2 linked regions of the Oryzias latipes genome follow. The protein of the gene in region 2 purifies or fractionates together with the protein of the main gene of each other region. This does not show direct contact. Links are inferred from orthologs where the notes say so. Each region holds a gene or a part of one and is shown on either strand. Other genes may lie near its edges.

The links. Proteins that work in one complex are often made in the same cells at the same time.
Region 1: the proteins of atxn7l3 (region 2) and taf12 purify together in Homo sapiens (affinity purification with mass spectrometry; 5 studies listed by BioGRID and IntAct, counting the BioPlex papers as one, with this or other methods). This does not show direct contact. The link is inferred for Oryzias latipes from reciprocal best matches to the Homo sapiens genes ATXN7L3 and TAF12.

What each region holds. Positions count from the first base shown.
Region 1 is NC_019874.2:22,541,507-22,547,229, forward strand, and holds taf12 (transcription initiation factor TFIID subunit 12), read left to right. Parts: upstream 1-2,419; 5' UTR 2,420-2,573; intron 2,574-3,088; 5' UTR 3,089-3,217; coding exon 3,218-3,295; intron 3,296-3,835; coding exon 3,836-3,913; intron 3,914-4,139; coding exon 4,140-4,254; intron 4,255-4,367; coding exon 4,368-4,456; intron 4,457-4,564; coding exon 4,565-4,600; 3' UTR 4,601-4,915; downstream 4,916-5,723. Other genes in the region: uncharacterized protein LOC101164588, read right to left, coding at 1-63, 693-744. UniProt on the Homo sapiens protein: The TFIID basal transcription factor complex plays a major role in the initiation of RNA polymerase II (Pol II)-dependent transcription.
Region 2 is NC_019866.2:4,612,673-4,618,492, reverse strand, and holds the start of atxn7l3 (ataxin-7-like protein 3), read right to left. Parts: upstream 3,902-5,820; 5' UTR 3,617-3,901; intron 3,058-3,616; 5' UTR 3,015-3,057; intron 2,927-3,014; 5' UTR 2,878-2,926; coding exon 2,827-2,877; intron 2,747-2,826; coding exon 2,614-2,746; intron 2,523-2,613; coding exon 2,351-2,522; intron 2,270-2,350; coding exon 2,172-2,269; intron 2,094-2,171; coding exon 2,071-2,093; intron 1,985-2,070; coding exon 1,939-1,984; intron 1,509-1,938; coding exon 1,471-1,508; intron 1,386-1,470; coding exon 1,317-1,385; intron 1,229-1,316; coding exon 1,185-1,228; intron 633-1,184; coding exon 561-632; intron 1-560. UniProt on the Homo sapiens protein: Component of the transcription regulatory histone acetylation (HAT) complex SAGA, a multiprotein complex that activates transcription by remodeling chromatin and mediating histone acetylation and deubiquitination.

The DNA of each region.
Region 1 (5,723 bases), on a different chromosome or scaffold from region 2:
ATTCCAGCGTGACCATATCTCCCTCCAGAACCGGCTCGGTTGGCCCTTTGATCATCAAAGCAGCTGCATGCGGACAGATATTACAGATACAGCTTATTGATCACAACATGAATGGGACAGGAGGGATGAAGGCATGTCGACATAAACAGAAGATCAAGCTGCTCTTTGGCCAGCAGCTTCAACGGGTTCTCGACCTTGTTTTGACATTTGGTTTCAGACTTCCAGCAAAAAAAATGACATTGAAAATAAAGAATTTTATACTCGTCAATGTCCCATGACAAGCAACTGATGTCTCTCCTCTTAACAAACAAAGGCACTTTTTCTTTCGCTTTAAGCAGCAATCATTCTAGAACCCAGCTAAGAGCTGTGCTCATATTCTTATGCAAGATCTTCAGTTGGCCTTTACATGTAAAAAGGCGTTTTTTTTCGGTTTCTCGTTGTTTCAAAAGACATTTCCTGTTTTTGTCAGTGGTTTATAACCACTACAGTACAGCAGCAAGTCAGAAACTGCAAAACATAAGCAAACTAAGAAAATTATAAGAAATTAACTCACACTAAAGAATACTGTAAATACAAAACATACATGTGGCAGAATTATGATCAATGCTTTTACAAAAATAATTGTTTAGGATAAATAAATCTAAGAAAAAGTTATTTTAAGACTATCACATATGTACAAAAAACATATTTACCATGACTGCTGTGGATCAGGGCAACAACTGCAGCAAGAAGAAAAGATCTCATTGTTGCAGAAAGAAAGACTAACTTAAATACTTGAGAAAACGTCGAGAAGTCTTCAAGCAGCGACTAAAGTGAAATGAAAGCGTCCTGCGTTTTTATCTGACGCGCTGTAGGTGTGGCTTTCGTTTGGTGTCCAAAAGCCCCCAAACTTTTCTGTCAATTTCACTTTAAAAATGAAAAGAAAGAAGTAAGATTTGTTTTTGTTTTTTTTTATTTTTTATAAGCGTTATCGTTGTTTTTAGATTTAATGACAGAGTTTTGCTGATGGATGTTGACATGGGAAATGACTGTGTGAACCAGAAACGCAGCTGTCCACTCTCTGCTCCAATAATCACGACTGCTCTCTGCGCGTCACGCGTCGCTCAGGGAACCAAACCACTTCTGTTTTAACCTGAGCTTTGCGGGTGTGTTTTTTTTTCTTTCCTTCCTCATAAGAGCCATCATGAAAAAAATGTGTTAACGATGTTTCTCACACTTTTTGGTGCGATGTGGAAAACCTATCAAGCCAACATTTCACGCTTTATTTTATTTCACTGCTCACGGGGGATAAAAAAAATTGTTTTTAGTGTAATCTTAGTTGTTTTTTTTTTAATTAAGACCTTCAGTTATATTAAAATGAAAAAGGGAAAAAAAGAAAAGGGAAAACTCGTTTACATCTAACAAAGACAATGCCTACGATGGCGTATGCTACATCATCTTGCATTATAAAAAAGTTTGTTTAAAAATATATTTCCAATAAAACAACAGCATGGCGTGAAAATAAACACTGAGATGTGAAAGTATACAGAGTATTGAGACGTAAAGAAAATCATAAATATTGGCAACCAGACCAATCTAGATTAATCGATTTGTTTTCCTGTGATTCAACCAGATCGATCTGTCTAAAGCAAATTGGTAAACGAATTGACATCTACCTTTATCAAATTGTTTCTAATAGTCATAGACAACAGACAACACACATGTAATGGCAGCAAAAAATGATCGAGCCGTCATTACAGTCCAATGCTTTGAAACATTTTTCATTTTTTGCAAAGAATTTTGTGACCATAGTAGAATGGTAGAATGTTCTAATATTGTTCAGATTATTTTATTTTGATGTGGAAAAACAGACGTGGGCTGAACTTTATGAAACTAAATTTTGACTGTAGATTTACTATTAATTGTTGTTTACGTGTTTGTTTGTTTGTTTGTTTGTTTGTTTGTTTGTTTGTTTGTTTGTTTGTTTGTTTGTTTGTTTGTTTGTGCACATATTTAATTTACATTTGATTATCTTGCAAGAAATACAACAAGGAATCTGTTCAGTACCGAGTCACACTGGCTGTTTTTTTTTGCTCAATTTTAGGTCAGTGAATTGGATGAAATTGGATGTTTCAAAATGAACCGATATCAACTTTGAATCCTATTAGCAACCACAAATTATGATACAGATCAAATCGTTTTTTAAAATGAATCGTAACACCCTTAATATTTATTATGTTTCCTATCAAAAACTTAAAAAATAACCCACAATCTTTTATAAAGCAACTGAATGACAGGCCATCTAAAAAACAAGCGTTCTCGTTTATTGTATTTATATATTTTATTTTCCGTGCTTCTCCACAGAGGCCGATTTTGTTCACGTGTTATTGAAGTGCCACACACAGTCCGACAGGGGGCAGCGTAGCGTGGACACGGTTCTACCGGAAACAGAATCGGGCAAAAGCGGAAGTTCCGAATATTGCTCCCTGAATTCTGGAACGGTTGTTGCCTGTTCGTAGACAAATTTAGTGTCAAAGACGTACCTTTCCCTCGAAGTAATGACGAAAATGGACAGATAGTGTTAATTTAAAAAGGTGAGTCAATAAAAAGCTGCCACGACTTAGAATTTTGTTTGAGGAACGCCGAACTGAGAAATTAGCTGCTGAATTTAGCAAGGCTAACTTCAAAGCTTTGTAGCTGCTATTGTTTTTAGCACTAACAAATCTGTTAACGTTGGATTCTTATCTGTGTACTAAAGAATTTATGTAATAATGGCATTTGCTTACTTTGTTGTATTTTATTAAATTAGCCTAAAGCCCTTAAGACATCGTGTAGCGTTAAGCTAAGCGCTTTCTGCTGCGCGCGTTTTCCGGTCTCTGTTTTGGAGTAAATAATTAGGGGAAGCAGACATCAGATTTACTAGTTTAATTAAAACATACTTGCATTTTGTATTGGATGCAAACGCTAGTTTTTAGGCTTATTAAATGCTGCTTTAAGCTACATGCAGTTAACCGAAGTAAACTAAATTGGGAGGGAAATGTTTTTGGGAATGGATCATCTTTTTTTCCTAATTTCACTGAAATTTGTACTGTTTTTCTACAAATTTAAGGTTGTGGTTCCTTGAAAAAGCGGTGCTTTCGACTGCCACGCAGGATTTGGGAGAGCCTTACCCGGGCCACCAGCGTCTTGTAACTTAAAGAACTGCTTTGCGCTTCCTCCTTGACCTTGATCACTGAGAATGGCCAATAGCACCCCAATAATAGTGAAGAGCCTGCCTGCTGGTCCTGCAGGTAGAAGCAGCCCAGAAGGATCTCAGGTTGAGTATTTTTCAGTTTTGTATTTAGTATACAGTAAACCCTTGTTTTTCGCGGGGGTTACGTTCCAAAAAGAACCCGTGATAGGCAAAATCCGTGAAGTAGAAACCTTTGTTTTTTCTTACAATGAATTCATTCATTCATTCATTCATTCATTTTTTTGAATGAAGAACACAATGCACGATGCAAATCCGTGAAGTAGCGAAACCGTGAAAAGTAAACCGCGTTATAGCAAGGGATCACTGTAACCACTTTTATGTCCTTATATTTTTATATATAACTTTTGAAATGTATTCTATTTGAGATATTGTTTATATTTTATCTAATGTAAAACTGTTTCATCTATTTGTCTTTTTTTTGCAACAACTACCATGTACGCTTTTGAATTTGATGCTTTGTATTTTGTTTTATTTTTTTACCTGAAAATATTTCTATTGTGTGACTGCAGCTAACAGCTACTTCGGGATACTGTTTAATTGTGAAACACAAACCTTACACTCACATGTGTAAGTGTTACACTTTCTCTTTCCTCTTGTCTTCAGGTCCTCTCTAAGAAGAAACTGCAGGACCTGGTGAGAGAAATTGACCCAAATGAGCAACTGGATGAGGATGTTGAAGAGGTCAGATTAAAAAAATATTGTAACCTCTTATAAAGACTATTAAAAGACATGCCTGTTGTATACCTTATTTAATATTTTCAATGCTTACGTCCGTCCAGCATTTCAAACTGTTACGTAGAAAACATGGATTTTTGTTACATTCATAAATCAGAACATATCTTTATTTGTGTGTAAAATCTTACTTTGTTGAGTTCCTTTGAGGCCTTCATATGTTTTTTCTTCTCAGATGCTTCTACAAATTGCAGATGACTTCATAGAAAGTGTTGTGACAGCAGCCTGTCAGCTGGCACGCCATCGCAAATCAAACACGTTGGAGGTTAAAGACGTTCAGTTACATCTAGGTATGTTTTTTACAGGCTAAATGCCCTTTTATTTTGTACTTTTTGTTTGATAAATATTTAGTGGAAACTAAGGGATTTTTGTCTTATTGTTGTGTTGTTTTTATGTATTTTAGAGCGTCAATGGAACATGTGGATTCCTGGTTATGGCTCTGATGAAATTCGACCGTATAAGAAGGCTTGCACCACAGAAGCTCATAAACAGGTAAACGATAGAGTAATTTTTCTGTTTGTGAAGTCATATTATTGCCGTAATTGTTAATTTTAGTTCCCTTTTCTTGAGTCTAATGCTCCCCATGTGTTTCTTTTTCAGAGAATGGCACTGATCCGCAAGACGACTAAAAAATAAAAGGGCAAGCCCTTAGGTTGAACCCAATTTGTATATTTTCAAATTTTTAACTTTTCTTTTATGCAATTGTTTTCATTTCCACTTGAGTTTGTCATTTTATTTTATTGACAGTAGAAAGCGTTTTGATGAGGTCGTCTGTCTTTGACATTAAATATCGCTCAATTGTAACGTCTCCCTGAATTTGAGTGTGTGGAGTCATTGCACAATGTTAGTACTTTGGTGTGTGTTTTTTTTTTTCCCACTAAACAGACTGGTAGAATTTCATTGTAAGTCTTGTCAATAAACACTTGCTGGAAGAATTCTTATGAATGGCGACCATTGCTGCTCCTCAGTTTTTTTTTAAATCCTTTTCAACATATTGATGTACACTTGGCCAAATCTGAAACGCATCTAAAATGACTTTGGCGTAGCTATTTTGCAAGTGTAACAAAGTGTGCTTTGAATTTTTTTTACTGTTTATACAAAAAGTTTAGCAGTAAACGGCGCATTGTTGCCAAAATAAATTTACCCGTGGTGTTAAAAAATAACAAATGAACTTAAGTGCATGGCGTCCCTAATGTTTTAACTAATAAGCTGTATTTTTAATCTCCTTGACGACTTTAATTTAGCACCGACATGAAAGCAAAACCATAAGAAATTTTTAAAAAATAGTTTGAAATAAATTCAGGCGTCAAGGGGTGAAAGACTTAAAAATGACAAGCCACAACATTAAAAACACATAAAATGGTTAACCTTTTTCCTCAGCCTGGTACTAAGGAACATTCAGATCGGTTAGATTTAGCCAAAAATACATTAAAGGTTGGGAAAGCATGAAATATTTATTGAAATTTTAAGTAAAATTATCATAGAATCCAGTAGTTTTCAAAACGTTTTTCCTAATACTTGACAAGAAAGGTTTCTATTTAAGTCTAAAGAGCAAGAATGAAATTATTGTTAGACCATGTCAAATACTCATGAGCCTTTACTTTTGTGCTATCCTAGGCACTTTAACATTGGGAATTGGGTCATCTAGACCCCAAAAGACTGCGCTGAACTTTTTTCTTCAATGATTTGTGATCTCTAATGGATTACATGAAATCCTCTCCACCTTTATCCACCTTTGTCATGGTAGGAAGAACACGTC
Region 2 (5,820 bases):
ACACACTGGTGGCGGCTCTGCTGCCAAACACCAGGCCAAGTACCTTCCTGTTGAAAAGTACCCAAACATCATATGATCACGGTCAGCTATGCCCCACAATTCCTGTTGGTTTCTGGAAATGACTTTTGTTTTTCAAAATGTTCTTTTTTTTATGTATTTAGTTCATGAAAAGCAGAATCTGAAAGATATACCACTATAAATAAAATACCAAACCGCTGAAATGCTGGACGCAATCGCCTCATTGGGCTTGAAAAGTATAAACGCCACTCATAAGTTTGTCGCAGTTTAACGTGGACAGTCACAAGTAAAACCCCATTAGGAACTAGACCGCACGATTGGTCGGGGGCGCCATGCGACTGATAGAACGGCCGATCGCTCTGAAGCAGAAACCAGCCTCTACAGTGAAAACATGAATTCAGGTTCAGACAAAGAAATCCCCAAATCAGTGAGAGAAAGCAGACTGAAGGAAATGACTTTCTGTTGAGATGAGCGGTTGATCCTCTGCTTTACTGCAGTGGATCATGGGTATTATCGGGTGAGGTGGGGGGAGGCACACTCACGCGGACGGCCCCAGGAGGAACACCCTGACGGCCATCCTCTGCTCGTCCGTGTGCTGAGGACATCGCTGAGACCTGGAGGGACACAAGGTGGCATTACATGACCCTGACTGACGGCGTGCCCACACCCACCGCACAGCTCCACGCCTCACCCCGGGGGAGGCTTCCCATGATGCTAACGCGTCTCCTCAGGCAGACGGACGCATTAACCTGCGTTTCTGAGGAGGAGGGTAGCACGATGGAAAGCGGCCCCGCATGCAGGAGGTGGGACGGACTGCTGGGAGCCGGTCAATGACCAACACCAAGACGTTTGGTCAACGACCGGAGCCGTCTTGGTCCAACTGACGCTGATGTTTGTCCGCTTTTATGGAAGACTTTTGCAGAATTTGGTTTTTGTTTTAAAAGGGAGAAAAGAAAAAATCTCCAGGTTGCCACTTGTGTTCCCCTGAGTTAGTCTCTACACACTCAGCGTGATGACAGACAGGTCGACCTTCCCAAACTACAGGGCAGGAAGACGACAACCCTACAGCAGGTTAGTCTGACAAAACAACTACAAGTTACAACATCCAAACAAGAAAATGCTCTGAAACTAGAAAACAACTAATAATTTTGGATATTTCCAACTACCTTGTACACATCTTCTTCGTGTGCTCTGATATGACCCCACACTGCTGTGATAAAAAAGACAAACACACACACAGACATGGTACATTATGCTGAGAAATGAAATTTTCCTGCTGATGTGTTTAAGGTGCTCACTGTAGTTAGAAAGGATCGGACTTCATCAGGGCCCAACATCTCATAATTGATGCCAGCGTTGTAGTTGTACTGAAATGGAGAAAACCCCAATCAGTGAGGTGCACAAAAACGCCCCACAGCCCTGCACTCGTAATGGAGGAGAGGCGTCAGTCACCTTGTAAGGATCTGCACTCATGCTGCTCCCAAGCTCACCTGGAGGAGGAAACGTGCAGCTCTTCATTCACAAAACTGAAGCTTTGTGTTAAATCACGTCCGACAATCAAGTCAATTCTACTGTCATTTGTAGTCCGACGGCCTTTCTCTTTACGGAACTCTTATTTTGAAAAGCCCACTGAGCCGTTTCAAGTAAAACAATACATTGAAACTTTTCACTGCTAAGCCGTTAACTTTCTCCTTTAAAAAAAATGTATTTTTCTACTAAAATATTCAACTGCAGGCCAACAAAATTCTAACCAAAAATAATCTAAGTATCCCTCATTTTAATGAAATTTTAACAAGATGAGCTTGTAGAAGAAATTTAATTAGACTGAAGCAAATAGTACTTTAACCAGTTTCTCTCTGTTGGGAAACAACATATTTTTGATATTTGTTTTAACAGGATGCAGATTTCTGACCCACTTACCGTTTTTGTGTTTCAGAGTTTTTGATCTTCTTGGGGAATTTTGACTCTGCAAAGAAATATGTATTGTTTTAAATAAGACTATTTTACAGAATAAAACGAATAAATTGTGTCAAAAGGTGATCAAATCAATACCTTGTCCGATTTCCTTTTCTTTGCTGAAAAACAAAGTGTGCACAGGTGTGTTTATTTTGTAGCGTCACCGTCCGTCTGTATTTTGACGTTTCCACGCTCACCTCTTTTTTCGGCTCCGTATGACCAGTCGTTATCGTTAAGGTCATCGTTGTCTTCTTGGTCGCTCTCCGATTTGCTCGTGTTGTTGTTGCTGGCGAGTCTGGCCAAAACGCAGAGGAAAACCGCGAGTGTGAACCGAATCAATAACAGCGCCTGACTCAAACGGTCGCCACCGACAAACCTGCGGTTGGCGATGCGGCTGCTGTTGCGTCCCATACCCAGACATTTCTCCAGGTGAGGAGCAAAGCGGGAAGCTGCGATCAGTCTTTTACAGTTGGGACATTCACACTCTTTGTTCTTCCACTGATTGTACACCTGTCCAAAGATGTCCACTCCTGGTTGGTCCACGATTTCTGAAACACATTTAAAAAAAACAAAAAAACAAGTCAAGCAAACACAGACAACGATAAATGAACAGAATCAATTGGACCGAACGGGACAGACCAAATTCTTTCATGCTCTCTTGGTCCGTTTCATCCAGAAAGAAGTAGCCCTGCTTCACAGCACGATGCACCTCGAAACACAGGCCCAAACACGCATCTTCCACCAGTTCAGAGTAGATGTCGTTCACCAAGGCCTGCCAGCAGACAAGACACTCAAGTCAAAGAAAAATGGTGGGGTTATGTAAAATGACCAAATGAGGTGATGGGGATTCACCTCCAGCTTGGTGTTGTCTGGGCCTGAGAGAGGCATATCCTCCATTTTCATTTGAAAATCTATCCAGGATATCTTGATATGGAGGTGATGAGCTGGTGTCCTTCAAAATAAAAGTTCAACAATCATTTTAAAATAAGAAAAGAAAAGGTTTACTGGAAACAAGAAAATAAAAGTAACAAACATCTTACTTTTACTTTGAATATCAAGCCTTGTAGCAAAACTTTCTTCATTCTGATCAGGAGAAGGAAACAGAGGAGGATGAACAATCTCCAAACAAAACAAATGCAGGTGAAGAAGCTTTTTCAGGGGAAAAAACAAACTTTATTTAACATAAGCAAGCTGGAAACTAAATAAATACTCCATGGTAGCTCAGCCTAAAAATACTACAGTAAACACATCCAGCTGGGTTCAGACAAACTTCCATTAAGTAATAAATAATTGAATTTTCCATGTAGACCAGGTTATAACCGCTTTCCCCTCCTATTTAATGAGAAACAGGAGGTGTAAATGAGTTCTTATTTATTAATTTTTTAATATATAATTGCATCTGGTCGAATCTAGATGTTATTATACTAATTATACTTTAAATTGTAGGAATGTAAAAGCACTTTCTTCCTTTTTTATTATTAACAGTTTAAACACAAACATATTTAATATGTTTAAAAAAAAGTATTAGTATTTATGCCTACAGACAATCCTTGGATATATTTTCCTCGTTTGTCAGACGGTAACCCTAAAAGAGCAGATTGATAGCATCAGAATTCGAGCGAAAACTGTTTCCTCTTCTTACCCGGTCGTGCCAACAACAACTCAGCCTGAAGCAGGCGGTTTCTCTGGGAGAAGCCACATAACCGGTTCGGTCCGGATGAAACACGCAGACGGGATGCTTGTCCTTAAGTCGCAGCCATCGTTACGATTTACGGTTTTATGCTTCTGTTGTCCGAAGTCAGAGCTGCCGCAGGTGGAGGTTAGCTTAACTGACGTTAGAAACCCGCTTGACATCGAACAGGCCGACAGCTTGGCCACACACAGCAGTAAAGCGAAGAAGAATAACACGGACGGGCTTCGGGTTTTACTTTCAAAAAATAAAAGCTGTATGTCGTAAACGGTGTTGGATTTAAAGACAAGACTTTGGGATTTGGTCATAATTTCTTCTTATTTACTTTACAATTATTTACATATATCAAACTGTCAACCGCGTCACAGAGGAAAATGTAATTCAGAAGAACTTTCTTCAAAAAAAAGAAATTACTAAATTACTCTGAAGGTACATATATGTGCTTCCGGTTCTATTGTCACGCTTGATTTAGAACCTTCCTTTATTAACTTTAGCTATAGATTTTATAGACTTTCTATAGATTCTATAGACTTTTAGATTTTATTATCAAATATTGTGGTTAATATACATCACGGCTGCTTAGTACTTGCCCCATTCAGAATTTTGAATATATTATTAAACATAAATGCCTTCCAAATTAAAAAAGTGTATTAGATTTTACAGCTTTTCAACATCAAATAGTTGATTTTAGGGTTTTCTGCGTGTTCTAACTTTGAAAACAAAAATTTCCTTATTTAGATAAGCAATGCTATGATTTGATTCAAACGCATATGGATTACTGTTTGATGAAAATATTTCAAAGTTGCAAACTGGAAGCAAATAGTTGAACATCTCAGACAACATTAAAAGTGTTGAAATGTCGTTTTCAGTCTTTGCATCCTTGATATTCATGGTAAAAAAAAAGTGAAATGTTTTGGTTACATGGATGTTTTGCCTACTCAAAAACATAGCATCTTTTCAAGCTTTTTTGTTGTTTATTTGCTCAAATACTTGAACTACAAGGACATAAGAACACCCGGCCTCAGCTATATAAAACATCAAATTCTGTCAAATGGTCAGCAGTACAAACTTGTAAAGCTTGGCTGTTATAGAGATCTCTAGAAACCAACAGCTGGCAGAGGAACAAAAAACAAACGGGTGAATTTAACCAAAAGTTCCTCCTGAAGAGTGAAAGACTCACCGGCTTCCAATATCACAGATGAGGGTTTCCAAAAATCAAAGTACTAACAAAATAATAAGCACTCGATACAAAAACTGTATTTACAGGGGGAAAAAATTACATTTTTTATACTCCAAGTCCACTGGCAAAAGCAGTTCTGCAAATCCCTTTTCCAGACCTCCCCATGTCATTTTCCCTTTCCCTCTTCCAGGTTTGTCAATAGTCTGCGCTGGTTTTGTTTAGCGAGGAGATTCGCTGCGGTTCCAATCCTCCAGATCGATGCCTCTCGCTTTGTCTGAAAAGCCAAATCTACGGCGACGTTCATTTAAAGTTCAAGTTATAGGTGACTCGACAGTGAAGACCTTTGGACGAGGAAATGTCAAAAAAAATTGAAGAATATCTACATTCATGGTGTTGGTATGATGTCCCACATACATACGTGCACGCCGTAGTCCCATGACGGTGTCCAACAGACGGCACACATTAAAGCAAAGAAACACACATCCTAAAACAGTTCTGTGCGTGCGTGCACAAACTCAGGACAGATTTACAATAAGTGCACACTTTTTTTTTTTTTTGGATAAGCTTGAGACGGAAACCCATAAAGCCAACCCCTTAAAAAAAAAAAAAAAAAAAAAAAGTAAAGATATCTGGAGAGGGACAGTTTTAAAACAGATTGAGAAATAGATGCATCGGATTTAAATAATTTTAAAGAGACAAACAACTTCAGTTGTACAGTCACTCTGAGGTCTGGACAAGCGGCTAGTCAAAGTCCTTAGAGACTTAAGGATCCAAATTCTTGTGATCCACAGACAACCGTTCTGTTTCCAAAGCAACAGAGTGGATGTAAAGAGCTGCAAAGACGCCGGTTTCTGAGGAGGATTTCATTTAAACACACACACAAAAAATAAAATAAAATAAAAAACGAGCTGATCGAGGAAGTGATCACTGCTTTTGAGTTTAAGGAAGAAAACATTTTTTTGTGATTAACCTGAAC